Linked DNA regions of Caenorhabditis elegans. The protein of the gene in region 1 interacts with the protein of each later gene in a pairwise test. Each region holds a gene or a part of one and is shown on either strand. Other genes may lie near its edges.

What was found.
Region 2: the proteins of T02C5.1 (region 1) and clc-1 interact in a two-hybrid assay, tested with the Caenorhabditis elegans proteins (one large-scale study listed by BioGRID).

Annotation. Positions count from the first base shown.
Region 1 is NC_003284.9:2,687,976-2,705,927, reverse strand, and holds T02C5.1 (TNFR-Cys domain-containing protein), read right to left. Parts: upstream 11,006-17,952; 5' UTR 10,994-11,005; coding exon 10,946-10,993; intron 10,896-10,945; coding exon 10,848-10,895; intron 10,805-10,847; coding exon 10,740-10,804; intron 9,868-10,739; coding exon 9,790-9,867; intron 9,739-9,789; coding exon 9,297-9,738; intron 8,708-9,296; coding exon 8,558-8,707; intron 8,510-8,557; coding exon 8,457-8,509; intron 8,408-8,456; coding exon 8,294-8,407; intron 8,073-8,293; coding exon 7,987-8,072; intron 7,934-7,986; coding exon 7,839-7,933; 3' UTR 7,655-7,838; downstream 1-7,654. Other genes in the region: igcm-3 (Ig-like domain-containing protein), read left to right, coding at 72-123, 170-423, 2,722-2,800, 2,892-3,000, 3,261-3,392, 3,436-3,563, 3,619-4,160, 4,781-4,938 and 4 more; T14G11.1 (Membrane-associated protein), read right to left, coding at 14,366-14,438, 15,253-15,375, 15,422-15,581, 15,628-15,888, 16,659-16,791, 16,840-16,935.
Region 2 is NC_003284.9:11,042,731-11,059,038, reverse strand, and holds clc-1 (Claudin), read right to left. Parts: upstream 11,594-16,308; 5' UTR 11,430-11,593; intron 10,804-11,429; 5' UTR 10,797-10,803; coding exon 10,709-10,796; intron 10,658-10,708; coding exon 10,533-10,657; intron 10,488-10,532; coding exon 10,396-10,487; intron 10,349-10,395; coding exon 10,207-10,348; intron 9,971-10,206; coding exon 9,869-9,970; 3' UTR 9,764-9,868; downstream 1-9,763. Other genes in the region: lpr-3 (Lipocalin domain-containing protein), read right to left, coding at 1-38, 92-646, 699-875, 943-1,351, 1,406-1,531; C09F12.2 (Glycosyltransferase 2-like domain-containing protein), read right to left, coding at 2,240-2,341, 2,396-2,512, 2,567-2,716, 2,770-2,975, 3,065-3,556, 3,608-3,698, 3,750-3,920, 3,969-4,100 and 3 more; C09F12.3 (G-protein coupled receptors family 1 profile domain-containing protein), read left to right, coding at 16,182-16,308.

The DNA.
Region 1 (17,952 bases):
TCAAATTTTCTTACTTTCCTTACACTTTCTAACTTTTATTTCTCGACTTTATTACAAGCATTTTGTAGACCATGGGATTGCCGTTAGCAGTTACTCTACTAATCATGCTTAGTATGAGCTCAGGTTTGTTAATTAAAACGACAGGTTGTAGTAAAACAACTAAATTCAGCTCAAATGATGTCACAAATAATGGCACAAGTAAAAATCACTGATGCTCCCTACCCAGTCGCCAATGCCGAGCAGCTTAACCAAGTCGTTTGGACCATGCACGGAACACCAACTAAAGAGGCAATCTATTGCGTTTCCGAGGCTCCAGTTTCCCAACTGCGATTCGTTTGCACCGATTGTCTTGAGAAGAACATTACCGACATGGTTAATGTGCTCAACTCGGCTCAGGATATAACTCGTCGTGTTGGATTTCCGGTGAGTCAACTAATTTTTAGCTTTGATTGGAATTCCGCTTCTCAATAGCCACTCCATAAAAATAACGTTCAAATGTTTCTTTTTTTTTCAATTATTTCACGGCCTTCAGTTTTCTCTTTCTCTCTTTCTTTTACGCGTCAAAATCCGACCTAATCTAGTGATTCTTGTTTCCTTCTTTCTCTTCTCTTATTTTCTTTGGCATCTCAAATCGATCAAGTCACTGCAACCTTTGAAGAAAGCAACCAAAAAAAAAGAGGCACTGAACTGACATCATCTCGTTTTACACTTCCCACTTTCACCGTACTCATAAATCGTACCGTTAAGCTGTTAACGACCCGTTAAAAAGTCTCTAATTTACACTTTTCGTAAAAAGTGTGTGTTTGTGTGTGTGTGTGAGTGAGTGTGTGGTAGGAAGATACATCCGCACAACTCCAGCGGAAAATAAGAAATTAAGAGAATAAGCCTTTCTACGGAAAGGTCAAGGCCTAGTGGCGGTATAGTGCATGCAACACAAAGGTCTTACCCTCTTGTCTGTTTGGTCATTTTATGCCTATACATCGCACATTAGGATTAAGAGCACAGAGGGTCCCCATTAATCCCTGTGGTCCCAAATGGTTTTGTCCAGAGGTCCGGAAAAATTATATTAAACCGATGCCGATTTGACAAATCGTGATTGATTATTGTTTCATTTCGTCTACAGTGATATCATCGATCATTTTATTCTTAATTCATCACGCAGAGATGCTTCAAATTTTTCGAAAAAAAAGTGTTCTCCAAATCAAATTGCGACAAGTAAGGTCACTGTTGCATCCGGTTTAAAACACTTTTTTCGCTTCTTCCGTCTAAATACACGGTTTCAATTTCAAGTACCAGTACCCTCTCTCGACATATGTATAGACACAGTCTGTTCCTTTTTCCTAAATGTTATGGTGCATATTTTCGGTTAGTGGAAGCTTAGTGGTTGTGTTTGCGTAACGGGAAAACGAGATGCGCGTGTATATTCATAACCATCTAACATTCTCCCTTGGCCTTCTTTCTCAGAGTTCTCAAACATTAAAAGGTGTGTTGCAAAGAGAACGAGGAGGAACTTTATATAAATTATAATTATGTAATCTATAAATCTACAAATCATGTGTTAAGTTTTCACGGATCATTGGATTGACTTTCGTTGATTTGATTATAGTGATTAATTGAAACGAAAGCCCCGAAATATACGATTCTAATAACACGGACAACAAATATTTCATAAACGTTTTCTACAAAGCACGAGGATATTTGAAGTTGCCGAATTTTTTTTTGACAAGTTCCATTTATGCAACAAAAGAATCAGAAGAGACATAGAGAAGGTTAAGAGAAAGGTCATTTGCTAATACTTTTATCGTTCCCACTTATCAAGATGGTGCATCTTCCTCCATAGACCGCAATCAAACACGACAATCTGTAGAAGGGTCACATAGAATATTACGCAACACGCTAAGGGTTTGAGAGCGAAAACTTACTGATAAGAGTAGATTTCCCATGCTTTACTGTCGTCTATTGGTCAATAGGACACTCAATCATTCTCACAGAAATAAGTGCATGGTGTTAATTGAGACATGAAATTGATTTAAAGAAGGTCTAAAGTTTAGTATTTTCCATTTTGACCTTTTTTGTGTCACAGTGGTCCGAAGTGAATTTGTTATTTTTCATCTTGTATAGCATATTTTGGTTGTTTATCTCGGGTTACTTCGTTGATGAAGGTAAATTTAATGCCGATAGGTTTCTAAACCTGACTAAAAATTGACCACTTATAGGCTTTAAGTGAACTCAAATATGCAATAAATGATGACCACTGTGACACGAAAAAGTGATCAAATTGATGATTTTTGCCAAAAGTAGATCACATTTTAAAAATGTTGAACTGCTATAAAAAGTGCATAACAAAATTTGTTTGTTTTAGCACATTTGAGGCTCTATACGTTGAAAATTTTCCAAGCCGTCAGTCAACCCTAACTCACCCAAAATGTTTAAAATAAACTGTTCCATCCCATTGCGTAAAGACCATAACGGATGTGTTCTGATCAGTGTTCTATTCACTTCCACACTCCGACGCATCCTGTGTCACTTAACGCGCCATTTCTTTGTGGCGCCCACCCCGCCATTTTTTTGCACTAATTTCGGACGGTGTAACCACATACACATTGATCTCATTTCAATGTCACTCATTTCTTACAATGAGTTTTTTTATTCAAATTAAGAAAAAAAGAGAGAGGGGGGGGGGCATGAGCTGATTCATAATTTTCATTCTTTTGTTGTCAGGCTGTCACACTCAAGGATATTGCTGTGAACACTAATTGGACCGGTGCAACCATCATGTGCCAAGCGGCTCTTAACGGAGGTAGGTGGAGGGAAATGAGAATGAATAGGAGTGCTCTCAAGAAGCACCTGGACCATATTGCGTAACACGCGCAATTCTTTCAAATTTTTAGGTACCGTCGATTCGTCCCCCGCAACTGTCGATGTAAGATATCTTCGTCAGCCGCATGTTGTCGATTCGAACGGACAATCGCCCGTGTTAATTGGAAACCAAGGATACAGGTAAGTAGAATTGAGACCATTAAAAAAGCGAATACGAACACGTTTTGATGTTGCCGAAGGGTGGTTAGGTGGTTATTAAAAAAGAACTGTACACAGTATGCAGACTGTCTTGGGGGGGGGGGGGGGGTCATGTTGTAAAATAATTAGTGCAATTTGCTTCGGCGTGTTACAAAAAAAAGGGAAATAATGTTCATTCTACCCACATTCTAAACAGGAATAAAGAACTAATTAGAGGGTCATGCAATGGTTGAAGCTTCCAGATTCTTTGTGGAATGTGTCCGCGGCGCTGATGGATTGTGCCAACAAAGTGGCAGAAGAAAGACCTTGAAGTGCGACGTTCAATCGAACCCACCAGCAACTCAGTACCGATGGTTGAAAAATGGAAGTCCAAGGTAAATTGTGTATTTGCAACTTCCGTAACCCATCAATTTACAGCGGAACTGGTGCCGAAATCACGATTGGAACAGAAATGATTGGGCAATCAATTCAATGTCAAGCCAATAACGGTCTGCATGACGAGTCGAACATGCCACTGTCGCAAGCAGTTCAAATTGATCCATATTGTAAGAATTGATTTTCGTTTTTTTATTTGTTTCTCTAATTACATTACTATTCCAGCATCGGCAAAACTTTTGAAGGACAACTTCCAAAAATTGCAATCCACATCTCCTTTCCTTGCAAGCAACAGAATTGAAATGAATCAACAAGTGAACATGGGATGCGAGGTTGAGGGAAATCCGCGGCCGATTGTCTACTGGAGAATGAGAAAACCAAATGGGGATGTTGTTGATGCCGCTTGCCCGCAAGGATTGGAGGGACAGTATCAGGAGTTGCCACCCGAGGGAGGAAGATCCGCTAACATTGTTCGCCTCACAGCACTCTGCTCACTTCGAATTTCCAACTATTCCTATTCCGGACAATACTGGTGTGCAGCTTGCTCTCAAGTCAGCCAAGGAGAGCCAGAATGCTCGCCAAGTCTTGAAACTCCAGGAACTTCCAGTCTCAACGTTCAAGTCATCGGAGCACCAAGCAATTCAGATGCTCCACCAAGCATTGAGCAACGCGGAAACGACGCAACAGTACTAGTTCACTACTGTGCCGAACCAATGCCACGTCCACCACGAGAAATTGTATTCAGCATCGATCAAAATGACCTTCAGGTGGGGATCTTATAATTAGGAAAGGCTTAGAAAAGGCAGTGCACTTTCTAATAACTCGCGCATGCATCTTGGATTAATGACTTCGGCCTAAATTTGATGTAAATAGGCATATGAATAAACACACCTAATTCTGAGGGGGAACTTAACCCGAAACTAGTAATAAAACGAGTAACAATTAATGCCAGGGTTAGACAAATCCCTAAGTTTTTAAAGAATAACGTTTGTTTGAAGAAGGACCAACAGTTTGGGAATGAACGAATTTTGTAATAAAACTTCTCAAATCATACTCAAACATTTTTTTTGGTGGTTCAAAATTTCGTTAAAAAATAGTCTAGTTTTAGGTAAAATTTTTAATTTTGGTCACTTTCCCGTGTCGTAGCAATCCCAACTTTTATCTATTTTTTAATTATCAATTAATTACAAATTTAGGAAGTTTACCTCACCCTATCTCATTGATTAAGGTTTATTTAAAGCCGATAGGTGACTAAAAATTTCAAAAACTGTGATCACCTTCGGGCTTTAAATGCACCCTAACCAATGAAATAACGTGACCAAAATTGGAATTTTTGAACAATTTTTGGGATGCTTCATTACAAATTAACATAATGTGCTCTCTTCAGGTCGGCCAATCATGGGAAAACTTCCGTTTTGATTCAGCTGTCACCAACAACACAGTTCCCAACTGTTACATTGCTCGGCTCTCAATTTCCCCAGTTCGTGAAGAAGATCAATATCGTCGGATTGCTCTCAAACTCCAGAACCAATTCGGATCGAAACAGTGAGTTGAGCAGTAGATTAATGAGCAAACGCGGGGGGGGGGGGGACCCTTACTATTCAAATAAGATGTTCCAATGTCTTTGCTATACGCCAAATGCACATTCCTATTTACCTATTCAAGTGAGCGCGCATATTGTGTACAAATGCGAGAGAAAAGGAGAAAGAGTAGAAGGGGTCAAATCCCATGTGAGGTCAACCTCTCCTCATTTGGGCTTTCTTTTTGTGAGAGCGAATAAGATATGCAAATAGAGACAATAAGTCGTAGAAAAAGGACGTTATGGCTGTGAAGACGTCAAGTATTTGTGTCACTTGTGGAAGTGTTTTATGGGAAGATGGTTGAATAGTGACGGACAGTAGGCGTGTGAATGACAAACTGGTTTCAATTTTGTTGCTTTGCAGAATCCCAGTCTCCATGGATGCGTTACTTGGTGGGGATAGTGCGATGGTGGGTCGCATGCCAACTTTCTGGATGTACATTTTGATTGGCGTCGCTGCTTTGCTGTTTGTCATCTGTATTATTGCAGTTTGTGTTAGAAGACGTGAGTTTGAAAATGCGAGATTTACTTCACAGTGGAAAAAATTTTTGTACAGTAATACAGTTTCATGGTGAACTTTAGGGTTTCAAGCCACTTGTGGGATTGTTGTCACAAATTGTAGTAGCAATGTTACCAGAGGAAAAGATAAAAAATTTCAAAAAGTACAAGTGAAATTGCCCGAAAAGCTAGAAAAGGCTACTGGGGATAGGCCCAAAAAAACTCAACACGAGTCCAAATAATCGAATCCCTTAATAAGACTTTTCAAATATTTTCAAATATTTTCTTGAATATTTTTATGGGGGTTCTAAATTTCCAAAAAAAAGGCTAAATTATATCTAAAATCTCTCATTTAAAAACTGGTTTATCATCATTTATAGCATATTTTGGTCGTTTTTTATTAATTAAGGTAATGTAGCTTAATCAATAATGTAAGATAAAATACCAAAATATGCAATAAAGAATGGAAATTTAAAAAAAGCCAATTTCGGAGTTCTGCGACACAAAACATCGACCAAAATTTGAGATTTTAGCCAAGGTAAAGCAATTATTGTTTAAAATTTTGAACCGCCATAAGTATATTTTCTAAAATTGAGAAAGTTTGAGAAGTTTCATCACGAAATTCGTTTATATATAATTAGGAAACCTAGAACCGTTAGCCCTCCTGTAAGTTCGACAGTTGAAATTTTAATTAATAACGTACGGTGATGATGTATCACCCTGAAGATCGAAAAAAAAATCGAAAAAGATAAGTAGAAGCTATATGAAAATTAGAAAAACAAATTCTCATGTTTTAGATTTTTTGGCTTAAAACATTTTTTTTTCCTAATGTGGCTGGGTACTACAATTTAAGGAAACGAACTCCCAAGTGGCAGAGTTCCGTTATAATTTTTCAAATAATTTAGCAGAATACATATTATGAACACGTTTAATCATCAATAAAATTTCAGGCGTGAAAGATCACCCAGACTACAATGAGCCGAAAACAAAAGCAAAGTAAGTAAGATCATAGTACATAGAATAGCGCTGTAATAAATCCTATTTTCAGCTTGAACATTCACCAAGAAAATGATTATTTCGAGCCACCACCAAATGCTCCACGATTGTTCGCACAACACCCACCCGAGGTATGCGATACGGCGTACGGCGTCTATTTGAGTCGTGAAGCTGTCGTCTGAGTTTGAAGGTTGTATCTTCCGACCCCCGATCCCAATCCCCCGACTTCCTAATCAATCTCATTCCATTCTCACACATTGTCATAGTAATCAAAAAAAATGTTTTAGGTATTCGGTTTTCTCCTTCTTTTTGTGATAACTTACCCTCTCCCCAACGCTTCGCTTCTAAGCTCATATTATCCACCATTTCACATCCCACTCATATCTCACGTGTTAAAATGTTAAAACCCACTTAATATCAAACGATTTTAGGTAAACGCGTACGACCAGGCTGTCAAAGATGCTCAATTACGCATGTCTATCGTCTAACACACTAAAATGGCCGTTTATGTGTGTGCGTGTCTCTTATTAAACTGTGTTACTGCTTTCCTTATTTACTTCCCTCTCTCTCAAGGCTCTAACGCTGGTGTGCATGCTCTCAACCAATCCAAGCTTTCAATTCACAGCCTCCTCTCTGCTTAAAGCTTTTTAACTGGGTTCACTTCTTTCATTCATTTCTTTGTTTTTTTTCTCATCATCACTTCAGAAGAAACGGACAACGGTCGCTGCATTCCACGAGGGTGTGAACTATGCAGAGCTCGAACTCAAAAGAGGCTTCGCAGCACAGCCATCAAGTACCGTATCAATCAGCTCTGTTAATAGTAGACCGCATAGGGGCACTGCTTCTGTTCAGTCTGTCGTCTAGCTAATCTATGTGTACATCCACTATCCTCCGTGTTACCTGTTTTTTAAAAACCGTATTGAAAAAGTTTTAATGGCCATATTTGAAATTTTAATTACAAATGTACCTTTCTGCGTTTTTTCTTTCTTTTTCATTTTTCACTTTCCCTTCTAGAACCATCCCTTGTTTGATTTTTTCTTCGAGCATTGTCAGCCATTCATGCAACTTCGGGTATTATATGCTATCTCTATCACCTCTCATTTCCCTCCACTTAAATTTCGTGGCCTCAGGCGGTGTTATCACCCATTTCCCTTTTTGGTGTTTTACCCCGACATTTTTTTTTGAAATGGAATAAAGGTTTTATCAAAGATACATTCTTCCCATAAATTTTAAATTTACTATTTCAGAACGTAAAAAGAAATGAAATGGAAAATGCGGATGCACATTTAAAAAATACAAAAATAAAAAAATAAAGAAGATTAAATATACAAACAGATAATTCTCATAATTCTCACGGAGAAGATAAAATTAATCAAACATCGAAAACTGGGTTGACATGAACGTGACGGCTGGCCTGTTTTTCCTTGCTTTCAAGCTTCTCGATATAATTGCTGGAATCAATGATCACTGGAATAAACTTTGTACATTAGATTTTTTTGTAACTCTTTTGAAATCCCTACTATGATAGTCCTGCGAGTCGGTGGGGACGCCCAAGAATTCCTTTCTTTCCGCACGCATCAAAGCATATGTGATAGAGAGAATAGTGCTGGAAAAACAAACCATAGATTTTACAGTTCAAAAGTTAGAATCTGAGACGTGTTGATTTATAGTTTGATCTACAAAAAAAGGCGGGAAGTTTTTTTCCAGAAAAATTGAGACGTTAGCACCATGCGAAATCAGATGAGATGTCTGCGTCTCAACTCCCGCATTTTTTGAAGATCAAATCGAAATATGACATTCTGAATCCACGTGATCTAGCTTACTTACACAACAATGATCATTCCCATACAGATGACAAAGACTGAACCCAAGTTTTTAATGAATAGTGGTGAGCTTTCTGTCTCATCATTCAAGATCTTTCTTCTATTTTTGAGCGACTTTCTGAAAAATGGAAATTTCTCAAATAAAAATCATTGAAACATTGACTTACGCGATGAGCTGGTCAAATTCCTCAATCTCCTCGGCTTCGACAACTTCGACGTTCTGTATTTCAAAAAAATTTCAGAAATCCGGGTAGATTTGCAGACATACCGTTCTGATTGGTTTCACTTGATCATCAACCCAATTGTCCCACTTGATTTCACGCTCGTTTGACTCTTCAGAGGAGTCATAATCGTCTTGGTTGATTTTGCGCACAGGGTTTGGTAGGGCTTCAATCTCTCGGAATGTGGCCTCGGCTTCCTGAAATTAAAATGATGAATTTAGTTCTGAAAATTTAAAAATTGGGCACTCAATTTTCATGGTCAATTTCAAAACATAAGAGCGAGATATCCCAAGTTTACATCAAAAAGTTAGCTTCACACAATAATTTTTTTGTAGATTATAGATGATACTAAAAGTGAGGGAATTTATGACGGCAGTTTCAAAAATGTTTAACCACCCCAACGGTTTTAACTCGGAGCCACTTTTTCTGGCATCTTCTCAATTGTGTGCGAATTTTGCTTAAATTAAACACTTAGAAAATCAACAAAAACAAAAAGAAAAAAGTTAGTTCAAGAAAATTGGGTCGTCAAAAAGTCTTCAAAATTTTTTTGAGTATACAAAACTTTTCAATTTCTTATTTCAATGATTTGCTCCGACATATTTCAGAAGCGGGATAGCTCAGTTGGTAGTGGTGGTCGCTAGCAATCTGGAGGCCACGAGTTCAAGTCCGGCCTCACCCTTATATCCCAGTGAGAGCACTACCAGGCAGTGTTCCTGACTTCCAGATCCGCAGTGCATAGCACAATTTAAATATGCTAACTTTATTGTTTTGTTGTTTTCCACCTACCTCATGAGAAACAATTGTAGTTTTTCCTTTCGCAATTTTAACAGAAGACGGAACTTTTTCACTTTTTTCAATCATGTAAGCTTTGACTTTTTCCGAAACAATTTCGCTTCCAATCTCATTTTCATCAGTCTTCTCCTCTTCGCCAATTTCTTCCGAAGAACTTGAATCATCTCCTTCTTCATAAGTCGGGTCTGGTAGCTGGTGCTCTTGACTATCGTACACATCTTCTAAACTGTTTCTCGCCATATCGTAGTTGATCTCATTTGAATCAATCATCTCAAGATTTTCACCTTTGATGAAATTATCTTTAATTGGTAACTCTTCTACCTCCTCACTATCCTTTTCATCATCAAAAACATTGACAAGCTCGTCTTTCAGTTTGGTCATCCCGATGAAATCTAGGCTAGACATAAGACACTTGGTTTGGTAAGAGACAAGCACTCTGAAACATGGGCTAACTTTGTAATAGAATCAGCCTCATTTTATGACATACTCATCAGAAATTTTGTCCAAGTTTGGTTTGTTTCCACACCATCCACAAACTGTGTTTGAAGTATCCGTGCATTTTGCTCTAAAAACTTTAATAGTTTTTCACAAAAGGGAAATTTTCGACGAAATGCGAGTTTTCCGTACGAGATAATAAAATATGTTTAATATATATATATATGACGTCATAAGAAACTGAAAATAAATATTGTTTATCAAGCTTGACCCCTGACTAAATTTTTGCATGATAATGTTCTACAACGGTTGCATGCAGATTTTGAAACTCATAAACTTTCATATTAGAAAATTAATTGAACCTTATAAACGGGTATTTTGAAGTTAAGGTACCTAAATAAATTTTTTAAAAACCCATTTTCTGAAAAACATTCCTACTGATGTGTAAATTTCAAAATTTGCCAATCTCGGCAAATTCGGCAAATCTGCATTTTCGAGTTTTGCTGTGCTGGGCAAATTTGGCATATTTGCCGCACACCCATGCTCCAAATGCCGAGTTAATTTGAAAACCCATGGTGAGTTGAACTCACTATGTTCAATGTTTTGCTAGTCACAAGTTTGAATAAACAAATGCCCGGAAAATTGATTGCTATCAAATTTCTGTTTTCAAACTGAAGTACTGTTTATTCTTATCAATCACCTTGTTACTCAATAGCACTAAGTTTTCACGACACCATATGACACCGAGGTGTGCATGACATGCTCTTCACAGTTATCAGTATTCTGACATCAATGCTAAATGACAAGACCGTTTGAATACACGGGCTGTCAGATTGTTTTATGTTTTACAATTTCATAAGGAATTGGTTTTTCAAGTATCTAAAGATCTAACCGCTAAATCTGGCAGTTTACAGACTTTTTATTACAGATTCCACGATGAGACAGTGTCCCGTAATTTTTGAATGAATTTGGCATAAAAAATATCAACAAAAAATTACTTACAGCTCGTACATGAAGTCACCACATGGAGTGCATTGGAAGCAGACGCCTCTGAAGTTGTAGTGCCCCTAAAACAAATTGAGAACTTACAAAAAAACAATTTAAACATACATCAAAGCATTCGGTAACGTAAGGGGACTCATGTAGCTTGCTGGCCACCTGAATAAAAATTTAACTAGAATATTTTCAAAGTGTACAATAGGTCTCACCAGAGTGACTGTACCAACAAAAAGTAGTAACTGCAGTGCTCCTCTCATTGCGTGCCGCGTGTAAAGGACTGACGCTCTTATCTCAGCGACGTCTTTTTAAATAATTTCAGATTGATAACAGTTCTATTTGTATGGTGTGGTTAGAGAAAAAAAGGTGGTGAACTTTGGAAGCCAATGTTAATTTTCTGAGTTGCGAGGGAGGTGAGTTATGAGGTGGAAAATTAAAAATATGAAAACATGGCAATTGATAGTTTATTAAAAGTGAAGACAAATAACCATTGAAGCACAAATAGAAAAAGTTTCTGCTCAAGTTTCCAAAAACACGCGGATTTGTTTTGTGAAAAAAATTATTAACTATTTAAAAAGATGACATTCTCCATTAAAACAAATTCGAAAACATAGTTGATGAAAATTTTCTTGAAAATTCAAAAAAAAAATTTTATCACTTGGAAAGTGATCTTGCTCTTGTCTCCTAATTATGATAAATATACAACATTTATAATTGAAACTAACAAAAATATTTTTTCGAAATTTGCATGTAGGAATTTTGTTTAAATACACCAATAATAATAATAAAATGACCAAATAAAACACTCCAAACAATTTTGGAAAGTTTGAGTCAAACGTTTGGCGAATTCCAAAATTTTCAAACCGTGAGCTTTAAAGGAAATCCAGAGCAATGCAGTATGTTCCGATTTTCAGAATTTATTAACAAAAATATTGTAGATGAAGTATTGAAAATCTGTGAGTAAGTTCGATTGCGAAAAAATATACAAGTTGAGAAATAGGAAAAGTTTTGGAGAAGAACTGTGGTACGTTGCACTTTGGAAAAAAAATCAGAATCTCCAATTACTTCTATGAGAGTTGAGAGAGTGCACAATCGTGAATGTTAAAATTTATTAAGTTTACACGCCGCTACCAAAAGTACTGTAGGTCGCATTTTTCACAAATGAGCGTTGAAACGAGATTTACGAGCTATCAAAAGTACAGAATATTTCCGGCTTTTAGAACATTTGTATCATTTTAACTGCAGTCACATGAATATATACCATGACTAATAAAAATATCACACATTTTCGTATGCTGGAAAACAAATATTTCATAAGAGAAATGATAATATTGATCAATACTGCAAAATTGTATCCAAAAGCTGGTTCAGTGTTTGACAATCAAAATCCTTGATCCAGCCTAATCAAATATTTGAAGAATAAAAATGCACGGAGTGAATCTAGTAAACTTTACCAGAATAAATCAAGGACTTATATATTTTTGAATTCAAACATATTCAATTTATATTGAAAATTGAATTTTAAAAAAGTTAGGTACAAACGTTTGAAAAATTTATATTATTTGAGACACAAAAAAAACATACCACAAAACTTATTTCTCACTCTAATAATTTATTGCGACTAGTTTTCTATTTTATTTAGTCTTGTGACTAGTCCATTGGCAAAAGTTGCATCTCACCATTTGCATACTCTCACTCACAAAACAATCAAAAATGACAGGAGGGAAGTTATGATAAAAAGCAAATATTGACCAAAATTTTACTGTGTTGTTGGGTCAAAATTGTATCGATATCTAGACAACTGCCCAGATGCAGTCAAAAGACAGAGAGTACGGGCGGCTGCCCACTAATCGTCGTGCCTGTGTGCCCATCAACTGCTCTGGTTGCTCTCGCATCTGTAAGGCGGTGTCTGAATAAAAACTGTGCGTTCTCATGTCCATCTGTGCTTTTTACAACATTTTTTGGTCACTTGTTCTGTTGACAGTGATTTCATAATATTCCATCAAGACGACGGTCTCAATCGTTTTCCGATTAAACCTAAAACAGTTTGTTTTTGACAACACGGTAGTTGTTGTCTTATCAGTGCATTATGGAACATGTTTCCATCAAACATTAAATTGAACAACATTGAGAGAGTTGGGCTCAAAGAATATGTTATGGAGCAAGTATGTAAGTTAGGAAGTATACGAAATATTGCGAATTTTGGCATGTTTATACTTTGTAGGATATGCATATTTTTCCAAAGAAAGTTACATTTTTTGCCTCCCTGACCATAAATGTACTTAAGTCAACAAATATACGCTTAATAAAATACCATAAAGTTTATTAAATAGTAATAGTGTAAAGGTGGTGTAGTCGAATTTTTTATTGCTTTATTAGACTCAAATTTGTCTGAAAATACCGAATTTCGTTATGAAAATTCTTGAAAACGTCTTTAAAAAAAGTTATGATGGCCAAAAAAATGGCCTAAAATTAGTTAAAATTTGAAATTTGACCGACTTGTCAATGTCGCAGCAACTGGAATTTTTTTCAAATCACCGTCAAATTGTGAGTATAGACGTCAATTATCTTGCGTTTTCAACTTGATTTAGGTATTTTAAAGTCGATGGACGGCAAGATTTGGTAAACTTTTTTTTTTTTAATCTCGCCGTCATCGACTTTAAAATACCTAAATAAAGTTGAAAACGCGAGAGAATTACATTCTATAGTTATAACTTGACGTTGATTTCAAAAATAAATTGTTTCCAGCCGCTGCGACATTGACAAATAGGTGAAATTTCAAATTTTAACTAATTTTAGGCTACTTTTTGAGCCGTCATAACTTTTGTTTAAAAGGTTTTCAAGAAGTTTAATTATAAAATTCAATGTTTTCAGACAATTTTGAGTCTAATAAAGAAATAAAATATTCCACTACACCACCTTTAATAGAAAAAAATTCAGACGCTGCGACACCGAGAAGTTGAAAAACTATGATGAAAAAAATCGTTTTTTTCCAAAACTTTGAAAGGCCGTAACTTTTTTGGAGAATTTTTCAAAACGTCTCAATTCAAAATTTGGTAGTTTTGGGTCATTTTGGGTCTAAAAAGCAAAGTCTCGAGTTTCGGTACTCCACCTTTAAAAACTATTCCTATCGTTTGCCAATTGATAAACAAATTTCCACAAAATAATTTTTAATACATACTTGTTTATTAATTAAAAATATTCCACAAGTTCAATATTGAAAGTTACCATAATGTAAAAAATTTTTTGAAAAAGTTAAAGCCATAATTGTAGGACACCTATAGAAGCAGCAAGGTCTTTGGAATTGAAATGGAAAATAAAAGCATCAGGGAAAAAGATCATGGAGTTTGAAAATGGAATTGCACAGAAACATGGTATGGGTTTCGATGGTGGGAAACGATACAGAAACAATACAGGAGAAATACTACTTGAGTATTAACCGGACTATATTTTGCAAGGGGGAGAAAGAAAAGGTGGTTTCAAAACCGGAGAGATTCACAACTAGAATTCACAATTGCTTAAAGTATACAAAGCAGAAAATGACTATGTCTGGGAAAGGTACAAGAATGTTTGATTTAAATACATGTGCGGTGCTTGATGAAAATGCTAGCGTGTAGCCTTAGAAAATTAGTTCAAACGGCTGGATTGGACTGTGAAGTTGATTGGGAAGATGTTTGCTCGAGTTCGGTGCAATCGTCCAAATATCTGGAAACAAGAATATTGGAATAATTTGTTTAAACAATTTTCAACAAGCAATCGGGAAGTTTTGATATATTTTTTGGTCGCAAAATCAAAAAAAAAAATCAAAAAAAAATTTTTTTTCGGGAATTTTCAACTTTCAGACAATTTTTGAGCACTTTTTCAGTTGTTTTATATTAAATGTGATTCTGGTAAAGCAAATATGGGCCTATACTTTTTTATTAAATTTTATTGAAATATTTAAATAATTTTTCAATAATTGCCGCGTGCTTATGGTTTGTCAAAAAATGTCGAAATTAAGAGGTTGATTGTACCCAAAAACTAAAATGAGCTGAAAAGTTCTGCTTTTTGAGGTGAAGTAGAGCCAGAGAGGATTTTGTCGAATACATTCAAAATTATTCTAAACGACCAAAAATGAGCCCAAAAAATTTCGATTTTTCAAAGTTTTGGCAGATTGCTAAACTTATGAAAAATATAAGCTTTTAAGGAAATCCAGAGCAATGTTGCTTGTTCCGACCCCTAGAATGTGTCAACACAAATAGTAGAAAAAAAATATTTTAGGTCAACTTCCAAAATATTGAGTGGCAAAATGAGTGGGTAACTGTCACAAAAAATTTCAATTTTCATACAGATATTTCGTCATTTTGGAGTAGTTGTAAACACTTTCCTCACTGGAGCTACTTCATTTTTAAGAATAATAGCTTGCAAAAGTCTTGTTGAAAAGTTTATCAGTTATCAGAAACACCTGCTTGGCTCTACCAAAGTGTCAACTGTTTCAACTTCCAATTCGAAATTTGTTATTTGTTCAAACATAACAAACCTCTCAAAATCAACGATCGGACAAACGTCCTCCGAACGGCGCCCTGCATCCCTCCATGAGCGTAGTGAGCGTGCACAAAGAAGACGCTGGTTGTCAATTCTGCGCATTCGAGTTTTGCGATTGCTGAAAATATGAAACACTTAAAATTTAAAAGAATACAAAAATTCACCTGTGACGAATGCTAGCCATTGCTGCAAGAAAGGACAAAAGACCAGAAATGCACACGAGGAAAACTCCAGCGCCAATGGCAACGATGTCGTCTTCGCGTTGGTCGGAAATGTCGGTTTGCGCAATGATGGCAATTGTGCAGCAGCAAAGAGTAAGCATCACTGAAAAAGTTAATGGAAATTGTTTGAAAAGAGCCCATCGCCATACTATTGGACATTTCCAAAATGGAATTACTGCGGAGCCACGCGAGAAATGGAGCTGGTGGAGGGAGAAGGCTCATGGTGGCACAAAGAGATGATGTTGCAGAAATTACAAAACAAAGAGCTATGAGAATGTAGAAATAGTTTGCTGTTGATGGTGTTATGCAGTCAACGAGAACTCGGGTCGGTGTATGAAATGCCACATGAGAGTTTCCAGCAGCATCGACATATCCTCCAAATCGGACGGCTTCCCAAAAATTGTGACATCCTGCAAATCAAATGTTTCATTCAATCTTTGATTTAAATGTGGAGTAGAGCCAGTATGGTGTCAAAATGTCCACAAATAAAAGTAACACGATTTTTAAAAAATTTTGACAAATTTTCGTCACTCATAATTTTGGAAGTTGACCAAAAATATGTATTTTCTACGACTTTCACACTTTTATTTTGTATTAATTATATCTATTGAAACATTCTAACATGCGACATTGCTCTGCATTTCTTTGAAATTTCATATTTTTCCAAAAGCTTAGCAATTTGCCAACACTGTGCTTAACTTTGTTTGGAGTGTTTTATTATTTAATCGGTCGTTTTAAATCATCATAAGTATACTTAAACAAAATCCACACTGGTGCTACTCCACCTTTGAAATTTAAAACTTAAATAGACCATAAATAATTTTTTTTGATCGACGACTTCCAAAAAGTGGCAAAAATTTAGATTTTTCCAATTTTCAAAAAAAAATCATATACAATTTTGATTTTTCTAAAGAACATTTTCACTATGATACCCCATCTTTAAAAAATTTCAAATGTTTTTGATTAAGTTTAAATTTGAAGTATCATTTCACTTTCAAGATACTGTTAATCGTGTTGATTTTAACATCGCATTCCGTTTTGTCAATATTGTATTACCAGCTTTTGATTCAGTTTTAATGTAAAAGTCATTACAAGAAAATGGTTTTTTGAAAAGTTTGCACAGTCATCTGCTCTCAGCTTCTACACAATTTATTTTTTTGCAATGCTAAACAAGACTTACCAATTGCATGACAGGGTTCTGTGTTCTTCATGTAAAGTTGAGCCACCTGCAAAGCGTCGATGTCGGTTGTGCCGTTTTTTGTGCTCATATCTTCAATGAGAATCCAGTCTGTAGACATCATTGCGAAAATTGCCTGAAATATTGGAGAATACTATTATTGAAGTCATGTGCAAAAGCTTACCAGAATAGCTGCAACGGTGTGGAAAGAGGCGGCTGGAATATTGGCATCACGAAAATCCATCCTAGTGCATAATGATCCAAGCTTGGAGAAAAACATTTTCTGGAAACGTCTAAATGGGACAAAGTAAGAGTTAAATAAGAAAGTAAAGAAAAGTTGACATAGAATTTTCTGTGACCCTGCCTCGGAATATTTATTCAATGTGCCTGCTGACGAAAAAAAAACACGAAAATGAAAAGAAGCAGCGAGCCCATCGAGCCCGAGGGAAATTGAGAAAAGAAAGAGAATCAATAGCGGCGGATGAGAGGGTGCAAACCCGAGGAAAAGGCAGCCCCACTCTCACTGCCACATCGCTTCGAGACCCTCGCTTCAAACTACGGTGAATATACTCTGCGTCTCTTAAGCATTGCTGGGCATGTTAAAATTCTTGCGCTTTAATAAGTTGTGTATGGTGACTGAGAATTTGTATATTTCAAAATTCTATTTGAATGGAAAGAGTTAATTGGAAGAAAAATGAAAAAAGAAATTGAAAATCAATTATTTTAAAAATAAAATATAAGTTCTAACACTACCAATTTCAAGTACACTGGCCTAACCAAACAAATGACCTTGGCGATTTTTTTTCAACATGAAATGCCCAGATACAAACACCATTTATCAATTGTACACTGGTTTCTAATGGTTTCTACTATTTTTTTAGTGCATTATCAATTTTTAAAAATTTCCGGTAAAGTGTACATATCAGGGGTGCGCGGCAATTTCGGCAAATCTACAAAATGAGCCAAAATGAGCAAAAAGTGATATATTTTATTAAATGTTAAAAATAAAATATAGAAAAACACTTTTTTTTTAATCTAAAAGTAATGTTTTATTTAATATGAAACAACTGTAAAAATGCTCAAAAATAGTATGCAAGTTGAAAATTGCCGGAAATTATTTTCCATAATTTGTGGGATATTTTTCCGGCTCTTATTAAATTAGAGACAATTTCTAAGCAGTTTTTTATTTTTATTTTTATGAATTATATTAAAGATGTTTTCAAATAAAGCAAACATTTTTCTGAAGTTTAAGGAAATATCTGGTACTATATGCTGCACTTTTGCTGCACTTTTTTGC
Region 2 (16,308 bases), 8.4 Mb from region 1:
GAAAGTGGCGGTTTTGTCATTGCGGGTAAGTCCTCCGTCTGAAATTTTTGATTTAAACAAATATTCCTTTTTTACAAACAACTGTACTCACAATGATGAACAACGCATCTTTGTTCGGTGGCTCTTGGAGAGTTAATTCCCTCAAACCATCTTCCCATGAATTTGGAAAGATCGACAGTTGGTGTTTCTGGGAGAAGAGCATCAGTGACATTGTCAGCGAGAGTTTGGAGTCTCTCTGGTGGGAGAAGCTCAGAAAGGGTGGTTCCGTTAGATACACGCTTGGTAACTGATCCGATCAGACTAACGATGTCAATTTGTCCTTGAGAGTTTCTTGGGATACCTCCTGGAAGAAGTGGGATTCCTGGAATTCTTGGGAGTCCTGCATGAGTTGGAGAGTTGTTGCCTCCTCCTCCGAGAGCGGCCGCAAAACCAGAAAGGGCTCTTTGAGCAGCAGATGGTTGTCTGCGAATGTTAGAAGATGATGCAGCAGATGCAGAAACAGTAGCAACAGCGTCATCGAATGAAGCTGCGGCTTGTGGGGCACGACGAATGTTGGATGATGCAGCTGGGGCAGATGATGAATCAGCTCCTGATCCAGATCCAAGAAGGTTTGGAAGAGAGTTGGAGAGGGCATCGCTCACTCCGGCTGAAACAAAACGTATGACGTGTCGATAGAATACCTATAAATTTCCACTCACTCTCCTTGATGACCTTTCTGATAGAGTTAGATAGAAGTCCGATAAGACCATTCTCTCCTGGTTGCTCAGCTGGAAGTGGAACATTTGCTCCTCCCTTGTATGGTCCTGGATTGTTTACAGCGTTTTGAATTTGGGAAAGTTGGTCTTGGAAATTTGGATTGGCTTGTGCAAGAACATCTGAAAAAAAATTAGAATTTTAGAATTGTTTTTGTTAAATTTAACATTTTAGAACATAAAAACTAACCATCGGTAACGGTCTTGACTCCGGCAGCTTCTGGGTTAACCTGTTCGGCTGGAATTCCTGGAACTGGAATTCCGGCAGCTCTCATCTCTTGTACGGCTCCAGCGAATCCTTCTGGATGGTTGCCAGTAAGTCCTGGAATTCCAAACGAGTCAAGTCCAAAGAATTTGATAAGCTGGTTTTGAACATCAGTTGGAATATTGACTGGTGGAGGTGGTGGAATGGCGGCTCCAACTCTTGGAGCAAATGATTGATCTCCATTGGTCACTGGCAACACTGGTTGTTGCGCTGCTGGTGGTGCTGGTGGGAGGGCAATTGGTTGTTGTGGTTGTGGAACGGCGATAGCCTTTTCTTGGGCAATAGTTGGGGCTGGGGCGCGTGGGGCCGCATTAACAGCACGTGGTGGGACAACCTAAACGATATTTAATTGACAAATGGGCTAAAAAAATATGAAAAAAAAAGTTACCTGTCCTAAAAATCTTGGACGGTGGTGTTGTGCTGGGAGATGAATTACTACAGGTACGTCTGCTTCGCTAATAGCGCCTAGTGCCACAGCTAACGTCGTAGCCAAAATCCAAATAAGCGAACGCATCACTGGTGTGCAGAAGCCAATGAGTGTGGATGGATGCAAATCGACTAACGACAATGTGGGAGGGTTCCCGATATACACCTCTCTCCGACCTAGTTGAATCAAGACAAGAAGTACCCCCTCCGATATTGTCCTTTCACTACTCTCAATTTCTCTGCGCTCTCTCTTCCCACCTTTCCCGTCGATTGCTATTCGCCTTCATCCCGGTTGTCCAATCGAAATTGGGCCAGGTCAACGCGTCGTCCAGAAGGTTTTGCGTTTACGCGATGCTGATAAGAAGCTATTGTGCGTCCATGACGATGACACAGCGCGCGGAATTGATCCGCTCGTCACACGGTTGTGGCTAGAGAATGAGAAATTCCGTGCCAGTTGGAACACGATCAGATAACAGAAAAACTAGCGTTTTCTATAGGGCCATCATGATTGACGTGACACATTTAAACAATTACCTACCACAAGAGTACAATGATGTTATATACTATTATTTTTAATTCAAACTGGAGTTCTAATTATTTTGAATGCTATAACAGATACAGACAAAATGCTTTATTATATGAAAATGAAATTGGAAATGCATGAGAGAATTCATAATTTGATGTAAAAATTGACTAGTGTAACTAAAACCCGCTACTTTATGGTACACAATAAAATTCTTGAGAAATCGGAAATACAAATTCGCATTGATTCATAAATTTTGTTGATTGCATCAATTCACACTTCCATTCGGTCAGGTTGTTTGCTGGGTACTGGCGCAACGAGATTGTCTTTCTTCGAAGCATTATGCGAACAGACAGATTTACCGCGAACCGTAACCTTCAAAACGAATGATAATTATGTAAACTACTGAATAGGAACGGAAGTACTTACCTCTAGAAATGCGACTAATTCGACACAACAGTACATAATCAGGGTGGGCCAGGTCATCAGCCAGTGGAAAATGTTGCGGATGATTCCCGTTTTGTCCTTAGTTTGTCTGGGGAACACCTAAACAAAGTAATTATTTTTGAGAGAGGTCATTATGAAGTATGAGGATATTACCGGTTGGCAAAGGTAGTTAACCAGGAAAACCGTAAAGAACCAGATGTACTGGAGACCCAGGAAGCCGAACATGATGATCATGAAACATTTGTTGTTTGGAATGACAAGCCCGTTAACGCCATGGTCGACTGCATTTAGCATAGCAGGGGTCTGAATTTTATATCTTCCATTAAGATATGTTGGAAAATAAGATGATGTCTTACCACAATAGGCGCGATTAAAGTGTAAATTGAAGCAATACAAAGAAGAAACCCATAGTAAAACACAAATTTTGCGGCGAATGAAATAGAAACTGTAACCGGAAGACGGAAAAATTTGATGGCAAAATAATGGAAGACTTCAGCAGCTCCAATGGTCCAGCGTCTGATCTGTCGTGCCCACTCGTACCATTCGTCGATATAGTTCTTTCCTAAAAAAAAAGGATATAAATTTAAAATTAAAATTTGGGAAGCAAACTAAATATATAAATACAAATCATATTTTTTCCAGAATACTCACCGCTGGTGGGTCCAGACAAGGTGGCAACAGGGATCGCTCTGATCACACATTTTCTTCTCACAGCCAATGACCATCTAATGAGAGCAATGATATCGTCCATTTGATATCCTGGGTGAGTGTATTCTCCCTCCTCGAAAAGCTTCAATGTGAGTGAGAAAATGCTCATGGTGTTGATATTCCATGGAATAAGGTATCCCATCATGAAAAATGCTCGCAGAAGACCAGTTATTCTGACGAAAAATGGCGATTGGTCTAAGTTGATGCAATAAAACAATGGAGATTGCCAGACAGTATAGGATCTTTGCTTTGCAGAAATTTTCCAATAGTCTTCTTCTAAAGCATCAAAGTATCTATCTCCGAAAACACTGTCACAGTCTCCAGTGGTAACAATCAGTTCGACATTGTTATCATACTCTTCTAATGGATAGTTTTTGTCGGCTCTCAACATTTTGACCGCTGTCCTAGCCGCGTAGTTGAAATTCGAACATTTGCCTGGAAAATCAAACAAACGTTGGCATTTTTCTCTGATTCGGTTTTATTTACCTGGAATGTCTCCCGGCAGTCCACGTGGGTGGAATGTGACAATGAACCGCTCGAACTTTGGCCCATATTTGTTGTCCAGAATGCGCTTTTTCTAAATAAAAGAGCACCGTTTGAAAAGTGATTCATTGGAAAAAACACCCACCTCTTCTTTGTCCGGAGTTCCTCCTTCCATTCCAACAAGACAAGTGATCTTTTCCTTCGCATTTGGTTGAGAAGCTATACTCTCGATTGTATCCATAAGCAAATCTAATGGTTCTTTATAGACACAAAGCCCAACTAAATGCTTCATTTTTAGACCTGCTTCATTCTTGACCTAAAATGTATTCAATGGAATTCAAATTGCCTATCCAGATTGGCTCACCAGGTCGAGTCTAATTTCATGAGATGCAAATCTTCTCAATCGCCATGTGTACCTTAGTGCATTGATAATTGCAATAATCCAAAGGCAGTGGAGAATTATTGAGATGATCGTCACAATTTCAAGGGCAAAATCCTAAACATTGAACGGTTTAAACACGACTAGAAAATCAAAACTTCCAATTGAGACACATGAGATTTGAAAGCATATGTTGGACTAGGCCACCATAACAATTTTTGAGTTGAAACTAAATTTAAAACTCTTGAAATCGTGGTCTAGAACGATATCAATACATTTATTACCACATTGATTCAAAATTAATAATGTCCATTTTCGAAGAATTGTTATTACTTTAATGCCATACGCCTGATTTTGAAGTCTACGACTACTTTGAATTACTTTCCTTGTTCGATTATCTACTTGAATATTTTTTCAACTTACGTTAACGGCAGGGATACAAGGGATCCAAATGGCAGATGTGATGAATAAGAAAATCAAGAAAGTGAATAGTAAATTCCATCGAATATAAGCATTTGCAGGTTTGGCCAATCTGCCCGCGTATGCTCCAATGCTAAAATTAAGAATATTAATTGGACTGCTTATAAACATACATGTTTTCAAATTTCTTTAAATTTAATGAATTTCAGAAGTCCAACAATTAACAAAAAGTTGTTTTCACACTTACGAAAGTTTTAAAATTTTATTAGAATCTATTTATTAGATCATCAAACTTTCACAGTTTTTGCAAGATATTAATTTTCTAAAGTTAGCCGTACCTCCTAATACTTCCTGATATTTGACGTTTGACAGATTTCTTGAAAGTGCCAAAGCGGGATTGTCTCTTACTGCCTTGTTGGTAAGCTGTTCGTCGCTCGGGCAACGAAGAAGCTTTTTGTCTTATTTCATATTTCTTTTCCTAAAATTTGATGTACTTTTATTTAGATGTGATGAATAGAAACAATGCCATTTTTTAAAACTGATTATTAAAAAAATTCTCAAAAACTCACAATATTATTAAGATCAGAAATATGAATGTCGGAAAGTTCTTCAATTGTTGGTATTTCATCGTCGATACGATTTGTCGTTGTCATTGTAGGTTAGGTACCCACAAGAACTGAAAAGTACCTGATTGCGCTTTGTGCTCCACAAACTTTTATACGAAGGAGTTGCCCAAGAGGCGGTGCTTTTTTCGTTTTACCTACGTCTCCCCCGCAAAAATTTCGGTTTATTATGTTTAGCTCACAGTGCAGTACACAAACATAACTGTCCCGCCCCTCATTCTAAGTTTTGATGATGATGTCAGAAAAATATGAAAAATGATGATACTGGACACCCATGCAATTTTGTATCTATCCCTTTCATTGAGTCATCATTGCCCTCAAAATCGTGGGAAACCCTCCACTTTAACTGTGTTGCTTAAAAAAACCATTGATCACTTCCATTTCAACGTTCGCAGCCAGTCTATGTTTTCAGATAAGTTTATGTATGTACCCGTGTTTTCATGATTTCCGACCATTCACAAATTCCTATTGGCATAATATGAGAGTAAGATTACAAATAATACTTAGGTCAACTTGCGCCAAAAAAGAAATTAAAAAATATAATATATTTTTCGTTGTAATAAAACTTATGTATTTTAAATTAGGAGGGATTAGGACACAGACATTGTTAATTGGCAAATTTAATTTCATTCGTGAATTTGCATAATAAATTTTTATAAAAAGCGTTATTTTATTTTTTATTAATTTTATAAAGTCTATCATCGCTCCGATTCAAATCATACTAGATTTCATTTTCATCCTAGACACGTTCTCAGTGAAATATGTGTATTATGTACATATACTTTTTGAAACTCATTCAAACGAATTTTCATCATTTTCAATCATTGTGGGTCATTTTTTTAATTTTTGATTAATTGATTCATTTAATCTTCTAAGACAATGTACACAAGTGCACTCGTTTTACAACTTCCACGGTAAATGTGTTTAACAAAAAAGTTCAATAAACTGGGAGCGATGGAATTGAACTATTGAATTTTCAAACAAATAATTCAAATTTAGCTGTTTGAAAAATCTCGAAAAAAACAACTTCTAAAGGTCATACTTTTTTCCAAGTTATCAGCAAAACAAATATTGAAATTATGGCAGACATTCCGGTGGGAATCGTTTTGCAGTTTATTACATTTTGACCATTCTTTGGGTGGAGCTTTTAAAATTTGATGTAGATCTTTTGGTTCATTTACTGATGCATTTATAAATGTTGGTGACGTGAGGTGAATGCTTTACAGTTCAAAAAATTATGTTATGAACACACTCGATTTAATCACAATGGTATTCTGAAAACAACACAGGGTCTACGGAATTAAGAAAATGTATTGTTTCAAACAACATATTTTGAGTTGCATACTTTTTCAAGAACTCCTGCAATATTTGCATTTGAATCTCAGACATTCTTTTCCAAACAACTACAAAAGACAAAACTTAAAATTTATGAAACGTATATTTCGAAGCTAAATGAGTTTTTCCATGACAATATCAATAAGCACCCAATGGTACACTAATCACTTCCGTTTTTCACACAGGGCATTTTGGGAAGTTCCTCTTTGTCATCGCAAATAAAAGTAACCAGTTGAGAACTGGTCATTTCGGTTCTCTTTGAAAAACAAACAAACAACACTGTTCCGTTTACTGCGTTTTGCTGGACCTGTTGCTGCTTTTCAAAAATGTTTTGTGATTGCCTTAGATAACTTCATTGACTCTGATCGTCAAAGAAAAAACGAAATTGTCTATTTGAACAAATGATCATGTTTTGCCGCGGAGCAAAGGTTAAGTAAGTGTCACCCAGCACTACAAGGGTGACTAATTCCCAAAATACATCAAAAAAGTAGCTGGGAAGTAATTTTGAGTACGGGAAAGCATATTCAGCTCGTGGAAATTGAATAGTTTTTGTTCATGAAAAGAAAACACAATTTAAGGTCAAAGTTAATTAAAATATAATAAATATTTAGGAGAGTCACTTTAAACAATATTTGAAGATGATTTAACACGTATGTATAATGTCTTTCGTCCAAAATAATTAACAAAAATTTTAGCGCAGGTATTTATTAAACCATACTAAATTGAATTTCTAACAACATTCTGTCATAATAAAAGTGTGCAGGCTTCAAAAATGATCACCATAATAATTAATCAGTATAAACAGAAAAAACAACTGGCGGAGGCTTATTATCCATGCTGATGTGTTTTTGTACTCACTATTAGTTATTAAATTAATATGAAAAGTGTTTGAACCCCCCGCCCTCATTTAATTCAAACTGATCAGACACATTAAACCCCTTTAAATATGATTTCTGAAGAATGCATTAGCGATGCAACTTTAAGTACAAAGAGTCTTATACCTGTCACAGCGCTTTATCGTTCACATATGCCTAGGCACGCTCGCTAATCCGTTATCTACAGTTAATTCTTTTCCTACAATTTAATGCCCAACTGTTGATTATATCCAACTTTGTAGAGGGAAGTAACCATTTTCCTTACATTTTAAAAGTAACTCGGCATTGGCTCTAGCTTCTTGCCCAAGTTTAGCCCAAAAAATATTAACTTGGATCAGAAGCTGTCTAAACTTGGGCAAAAGTTAAGCAAAACTTTGGCAAAATTTGGATTCAAGCTTTACCAAAGTCTAACCTAAGTTTCACCCAACTCTTGCCAATTTTTGGCCCAAGTTTGAAACGAAATAAGAAACGTTTGGGCCAAAGTTTGGCAAGAGTTGGGTGAAACTTGGGTCAGACTTTGGTAATGCTTGAATCCAAGTTTTGCCAAAGTTTTGCCTAACTTTTGGCCAAGTTTAGACAGCTTCTGATCCAAGTTAATATTTTTTGGGCTAAACTTGGGCAAGAAGCTAGAGCCAAATGCCGAGAAGTTTTAAAAACATTTTTTTATGGAAAACGCCAGTGTGAATAATATTTCGAATAACTCATTGAAAATAAGGAAATTTATTGAAAAAAGTTTTCAAAAAATGTAGCTCTAGTCATTGTGATATTTATGCAGATTAATCCTAATTATATCCTAATTTAAGTAGTCGACCAAACAAAACATTTCTGCGAGATTCATATTTTAATCATGTTTTTATGATTTATAAATAAACGAATGAAACGTTTCTCCGAATGCTTTATGTGGAATTGTTGGAGATTTTTTGCTGTTCTGTATTTAAATACAAAAATTTATTAGGTTCCCGAAGTATTGAGTTTAATTAGAAAATCTGAATTTTAAGACATATGTGTGACAGCACTTTTTTAGATGTAATATAACCTATTATCAATTGTCATATTTACTTATTTTTCATAAATTTAATAATTGATATCTGACTTTAAATGATTTTTTTTTCAGAATGATTCTCCGGGGAATTGCCCTCTCCCTGAGAAGCCCTTATCCCCGAGGGTCCCCATCCCCGAGGGACCCCCATTCCCTAGGGGCCCGCATCCCCAAAAGGCCCGCATCCCAGACTGGTCTTCATCCCCGAGAGGTCCTTATCCGAGAGGAGCCGATCCCCGAGGGGCCCCCAACCCCGAGGAACCCCATCCCTGAGAGGCTGCCGTCGCTGATGAGCCTCTCATCCGTGGGACACCCATCCCCGAGGGGCCCTCATCCTCGAGGGGCCATCATCTCCGAAGGAGATTTTAAAAAAGATACTTCCGATCTTTGAAACGTTTTCTAACAAAATCCAAACTGGCGCTTGTTCATCTTTAACCCATCCGCCTTCAAATTCATATCTAGATCGCAATAACCTATAATATACAGTACTGGCCAATATTCTATTCACTTTTGATTTTCCAGTTTTTTTAACTTTCCAATGTATATAACTCAAAAACTTAGGATTTCTCCAGGAGAAATACCTATGTATGTCTAGATTATTTGTAGCAATTTCTCTACAAAAAAATCTGGGTGCCAGTCATCTTGCAGGTCCACTTCAGTAAATTTTTCTTAGAACCGCAACCACTCAAAAATCGGTTTTTAAAAATTTAGTAAATTATTATCTGAATTTAATTATATATATTTTTGCAGAAGCTGTTTCATGTTTTCATAATTATTTTTCGTTGAACTCTTAATGTATCAATTAAAGTCTTGTTCATGAAAAAGTGAATTCAGTGATTGTAATAAAAACTATTAATTTGACACAAATTTTTAAATATGTTTATTTTAAAAAAATAGTGCAAAATAAAATAAAAACACATTTTTAATAAGCGGAATATGTATATTGTATATAGTCATATATTGAATTGTCAGTCAGTTGCTTTCACAGAAAAAACAACTTTTTAGAATTCATGTCACTATCTAAAGATTTTCACCAATCTTTACTTCTATCAAAATGTTTACAATGACTCACTTTTTCAACCTTTGTTGCACAATACATCTTTCAATTTTTGCTCAAACACTTGGCATTGTTACATTTCATCTAACATATTATGTTCCGAGTTCAACTAATGATCTTTCTCGCTGCGCGCGTTTTTCAAATTCTTAAGAAACTGTGAAATAATTGACTATGTTCTTTGACCGAGCCTCAGTAGTGATGCCTCCCACGCCGCAAACTTGGGAGCAACAAGTCGAAAAAAATCGACAAAAATTGCTCCTGATCTTCGTGACACGTCAGTGTGTCACTAAGAACAGACATATTCACATGTCTTACCACAGTTCAAAAGACCTTTTACAAACACAAAACCGTTACATTTTTTGCCGTCCCCATCTTGCCAGTCTTGTTTGCACTTTTTCAGTGTAGTTCGGCGTTAAATGCGAAAAACCAAGTTCAAAATCTTACAAAGCTTTAACAAATAGATTGGTGCCGACGTCTGGGCTGAGCAGTTTATATCACAGAAAATGCAGGGAAATAATAAATATAATCAAGTTTAATTAACAGCAGTGTTCCCCAAGACACACTGTTAGTGCTCCCAAAATGACATCCGCCGCAGATAAGATGAGGGCTCCAACTGCAAGCCAAAACGAGTATCCAAGCTGAAAAATTAAGTTGTGAGTTTGTACAAACAAAGGTTTATGAGCAGCTTTTGCGCCTTAGGGTATGTGCAGATTGGCCAAAAAGTTGTTCAATGTGAGATAGGGAGGGTTTCTCAAAGCTTTATAATCGGGTTTTAAAGGGTTAGAACATGTGTAAAAAAAGAGTTTTAGTGAAGTTTAATAGTTTCAATCAAATAATTTTACACTTTTTCCCACATTAAGAATAGCATTCTCACCTGCGAGTTTGTATTAATTCCATTTGTAAATTGATTCCATTCAGCTGCATAAACAATAACAGCGATGAGCAGAAGAATAGTAGAGATGACTGCAAAGAGGGTGAGTGGATGGATGATATATTTCTTGCAGCAGCAGGCAAGGCTGAAAGTTGTTTGAATTATATTAATGTCGGCTTTCGCTAATCTAACCATGTCAAAAAGTTGTAGACAACTGCAAAAATTTGGACAATCAAAGAGAGGATCATGCAGACGACGACACATTTCATCCATCCTGGAAGATTCTGAAAACAGTATTTTTGAGCATATAAATAATTTCATCAACATACCGCCCACCAATCCTGACACTGGGTTCCCTGAGAGTGACCAATACATGACCAAGGCATCAAGCCATTCCATTCAGATGTGTTGATATGAGTTATATCTTTCACATTATTTTCAACAGTATTCCAACCTGAGAGTTTGAAAATTCACTTTTTCTAACATCTCCAAAGATGAAACATACTTGGCGTAAACAAAGCAACTGCTGTTAAAATAGCACTACCAGCCATAATAAGTCCATAGAGAATTTGGGTGAGTCCGGAAAGACACATTGTGAACCTGAAACATATGGTTTTAATTTTAATATTTTTTTCAGAAGATTGACGGACAAAAAGTATTAAAAAAGTATGAAAACAATTTCTCCTAAATATGGAAATTTCTATTGACGACAGACAAACACATGGTGGCATCTATGCAACCACCTAGTTACGGAATGAGAATGCACTTCAATGTAAGAATGACGACAGCACAAAATACTAAAATAGCCTGCACATTTGACAACTATACATCTTAACCAAAATATGAAAATGATGAAATAAATGCTCAAAGTGGGCAGAAACAGTGTTTTTCTTATCGCCATTGCCAACTGGGCTGTAAAAGTTTGGGAGGGACACAGGAAGAAGTGATAAAACTAGATGCAAAAAGTCAAAACGGATTTTTTTAATTTTTGAATAGATTTTAGATACTCGGAGAGTGAAAAATAAAACAACAAACGTCGTTTGAAGCATTCAAAATATTTTCACAAAACCTGATGTATCAAGTTACATTACTAAAGGACCAATTTTGGAAGAAAATTTCACAACCCGAACTAGTTTTCAAGAAATAAGGAATGGCAACGTGCTATGTCACACAAACTGGAATGAAAAAAATGCTTCATAGATAAGATTGAACACTCAAATATTTACCTTAAATGTCGATGGGACGGCGTGAACTTGATAGAAAATATGAAAAATGTGTGTTATATACAAGAGTTAGGCTAGTTTTAAAGTAAAGAGGTGGAGAGAAATAAAGCGTTTGCTTGCTCGTATCAGTAGAACTCCTCGACACGTCATGTAACCGTTTTCGGTATGATTCAGTCAAGAGATAGACCAAAAAATAAAGTGTTGATAAGAAACTCAAGTTGGGCGTTGTAGAATTTTGAAAGTTGACATAGAGCCATTTCTTAATTTCTGTTAAAATTCTTTGTGAGTCAGCGAGTTTTGAGCAGATGGAAACGGTGATTAGTTCGTATAATCGTTATCAACTTACAGTCAGATGCTCAAATATTTCGACGAATTTTCCTATCATTTCAGCCAGTATCTTTCGTAGTTTTACAAAAGTGGAGTTTACGGTGAATCACGTATATGCGAACACAAAAGTGACGTGTTTTCATTTTTCAAAAACTTTTGTTTAGTAAGCTTCACTCAAAATGTTTTGAAACAAGCTTCAAACTTTCAAATGATTTTTTTGTGAATATTTAAAAAAAAAACTGATTTATTGGCAAGAAACAGGTGGTTTCAGCTAACTTTCTTTTTACGTCTGGAAATATAAAAAATTCGAAAACATTTTTATTTCGTGGAAATAATAATAACTTTAAATTGTTGGTTTTTTTTTGGTAAAGATTGGAAAATCAAAGCTAATTAATTTTCCAATCAGATCGTTAGCAAATTGTTCAAGATTTTTATCATACATGCCTGAACAATAATATTTACTAGAAGGTTATTTGATGTTTTAAATAACCAAAACAATAATGATAAACGGAATTTATGACTTGACATTTTTCAAAGTGTATCAGGTATGTGAAATAACCGAACCTTTAAAGGTGGAGTAGCACCAGTGGGGATTTCGTCTAAATGCACTTATAATGATCTAAAACAACCGAATATCATAAGAAAAAACTCCAACAAATTTTAGATGTTTTCTAGTTTCCGGTCAAAGTTTTGGCAAGTTGTCAAAATTTTGAAAAAAATGTGAGTTTTGAGGAAATCCATAACTATGTCGAATGTTCCGACTACTACAATATTCTATTACAAATAGTTAAAACAAAGTTACAGTATGATAAAAAATGTAGGAACAAACTTTTTTTGGTCGACTTCCGAAATTAGTTGCAAAAACTGAGTAATTTTCACATTTTGACAGTAAACAAAAAAAAAGTTTTCAAAAAAATTTTGAAACATTTTATTATGCTATTCGGTCATTTTGGAACCATAGGAATAGTTTTTCACTCTTTCCCTACTAGCGCTACTCCACCTTTAGGTTTTTTTGAGTTTGAAGACTACCAATGTCAATCTATAATACAAAAGAAGAATGTTGTCTATTTCAGCATGTTGCAAAAAACGTATGAAACTTGGAACATCGAGAATGCTCACGACACGGGTTCACGACGGGTTCACGACACTAATTGTGGATTTGTTTGTTTTGATGGACTTGAAATAAAACCAAAAAATTGAATTTCACAGTGAAAATTTCTGTAGTTATCAAAAAAACGCTGAAAACTGGACCAAATTATTTTAAAAAATTATAAAAATAAGCAATAGAAGCAACTTGGCAAAAATTAAAGGTTTAGCATAGCTTGGTTTCTCTCGAACGTTCCAATTTCCATAAATCCCTACTGAAAGAGTTTTGCTAATTCAAATTACGAAAATATCATATGTAGTAGATCTGTTCGATTTGGGTTTCCATTAATACAAAGTTCTCAAATTGCTAACTAAAAATGAGTAGGAATGAAAGTAAACAGAGAAACAGTTTCTTGGAACATATCCTCAAAAAACTTAATTTGAACAATTGAAGTAGTATTGCAAATATTTTATAAGATCTGAAAGTTTACAAACAACAGTTGATTGAAAAAAACAAGTGATTAGTACTTTTCAAAAAACATCTGACTCATTCTAGCATCAAATCAATGCAGAGCGTTTGTTTATTTAAGATACTATTTACATTCTCATCATTTTTATTTCTTGCTTTTGTTGAAACATCCTGTTTAATTTAGTAGAGGTTTCTACTTTCTCTGGTATTTTTAAACTTGGATATGATGTGTTATTATCCAAATGTTCTTCGAAACGTGTGAAAATGTTAAAAATACATACTGAAAATGTAATCAACGGAACTACTTGCTCGAACGGCATCCGATTGAAATCTGCGGCCGTTGGGAAAATGAAAAATAAATGCTGGAAAAGAAAAGAAGATATGAAGAAACAGCGTGAAGGAGTGTATTTGACATATGCAAATACGTAACGGCAATGAACTTTAGCCGTGTAGCGCTGACAGTATTAACTCTTCTTCTTGTCACCTTTCAATCAAAGTTTATATATTTTCTTTTCAGAAAAGTTGTTTGATAATATGTTGTCTTTTGTGTTTCATTTTCTATGTGAGAACGCATCTTTTTGTTATGCTATGACGTAGAATCATACTTGAATAACTGACAAAGAAGCTATGAAAAGGTGTTCGTATATACAAAAGGATTTTCAACTTGAGATCTGAAAAGTAAAGTGTTTTTTTTTAACTCGATGAATTCAAAAGATACTGTATATACATAGAACAACCAATGAAACAGCTTATGAGTTAGTAGACAATAAACGTTTTCAGTTTCTCTGAACTTTCCAAAAAAAATTTCCGGAATTTTTTACAAGAAATAAGCGTGTCAAACCTACTGAATACCATCCTGGGAAATACATCATAAAAATTGATGAGATTGTTTGCAAGCAAAACTAAATTCTGTAATTCTACAGAAAATGCACTTGAAAAAAACTAGGATGCCCATTTTTTCAGTGCATATTTGAATAATTTTTCACAAGTTAACAACAAAAATATGTATATTAAATGCAAATTTATCGTAAAAAACTGATCAAAATCATCTGCGTCAATGCTGAAAAAACCGAGAAATTTTAAGATACAATTGGAAATTGATATTCTGAAAAATAATCAAATGCATAATAAGGTAGAACTATTCAAACTCTACAAGTGAAATATAACAATTTATTAAATGGAGAAATTCTTAGGAATTGTCTTTTCCAAATAAATTAGGGGGTTTCATACAACCTTTTTGATACAGTTCAGTTGTTACAAAACATTCTAGTTGTTTTTCTGGCATATGTATGTCTCATGCACAGTATTTCGGCGAACTCAAACTTGGATTTTTTTCGTATTTCAAACAAATTTTTAAAGATTTTTGAATACTTCTCAATACCTTAGTGTAATTGTTTTGGAGTTTCAGAAAGGTGCACCTATCTTCTTGTTGCAATGGTTTAAAAAGTTGCTTCAAAAAAAAAAAAAAGTGCAACTGCGTGCCCTCATAATTGTGTTTGCGAATCAGTGCGCAAAAATCTATCAGAGCCATGTGACCGACTTCTTTTAAGTTCAGTTCATTTTGTTTTGAACATCATGTTGGAATGACTTTCTGCTCTAGAAATATCATTTTCATTCCTTCACCAGGGCTCTCCGATTTCTCATCCATTTTTTGAAATTTGAAGCGAAGATTTTGAACCGCCTCCGTCATTTTCAACGCCTTCGTCTTCCGCTTGTTTCTCATTTCCTTTCTCAGACGGAGTTCGTAAATAATTTAAACATTTCTCAGGTTTTTTTTTCAGTTAACTCATTGTTAAACTATTCGGCTTTAAACTTTTGAACTTATTACGCACACAGAACGTGAAATGAGAGTTCAGAAATAAATCCATTTCATTTCGTAGTGTAGATTATATGTGTATTAGAATTCTTTAAAACCGTCTTCTAATATAATGTGAAGTAAGTGATAAATACAATTTTACAAGTATGGATTGTTCAAAAATCATTCCATTATGTGCTCCTTATGTATGCTCCATGATTCAGCCTCTTTTTCGCATGCAGCTTAAGAAAAGTCTGACTTGGGCAAACAAACTATGATTTTCTAGAGATTTTCCAATAGATACATTTTAAATGTGTATTGATGGAGATGATGACGATGGAAAGTTTCGAAAAAACCGTTCGTCACCCCCAAACACACGTCTAAATAAGCTGGTCTCATTTTTCCTAAATACATCCTTGTAAAACAAACATGACACAGATATGGAATAGGCACAGCGCATCCAAACAGTGTGCTGCTTGTCGGGATGAAGTTTGAAATGTGGAGAAGCATTTCATGTGAATTCATCCGTTTTTTTTTAACTTTGAACCTGTGTTCATTAAATTACTTTATTAATAAGCAGAGTGATAAATTTCTCTGAACCTTTTCAATCAAATTGCGATGCTATTAGAATAGAAAAGAAAACTTCTGCTATTTTTTAGAGTACTAGGCAATTCTTCGCCACTTCTCAATCAACTTTACCCACTTCTCTGTCATTAGCTCTTTGCAACTTTTTTTTCAACAAAATTTACAGAAACCAATTTTCGTTGATTTTGCAGATAATAGCCAACCGTCATCCACACTAGCAAGTTGTTCAAAACACTGTCCTATATAACTTACTTTTTCAACTTCACCTGACAGAGCATGTAATATGTACTATCACAATGATAAATCATTTTTAATAACAAGTTATCCTTTTTTGGTGAAATCAATTGAAAATCACGTTATATAGAGCGTTTCTGTAAATATAAATCACATAGCCTTTTCTTCTTCATTTTGGATATCAATTTTTTTCTAATTTACTTTTACTAATTTACAATTTACATTAACTTTTCATTATTTCAGGGCTTTCCGATGTGAAATGGATGATAATTATGGTTTATTTTTCCCAAGTCATTCGATGGTGTGCTACCATGAACCTCGAATACACGACCATGAGCTGTATTTTCAACTTCGGAATCTCAATCTTCTTTTATTGCTTCCAATTG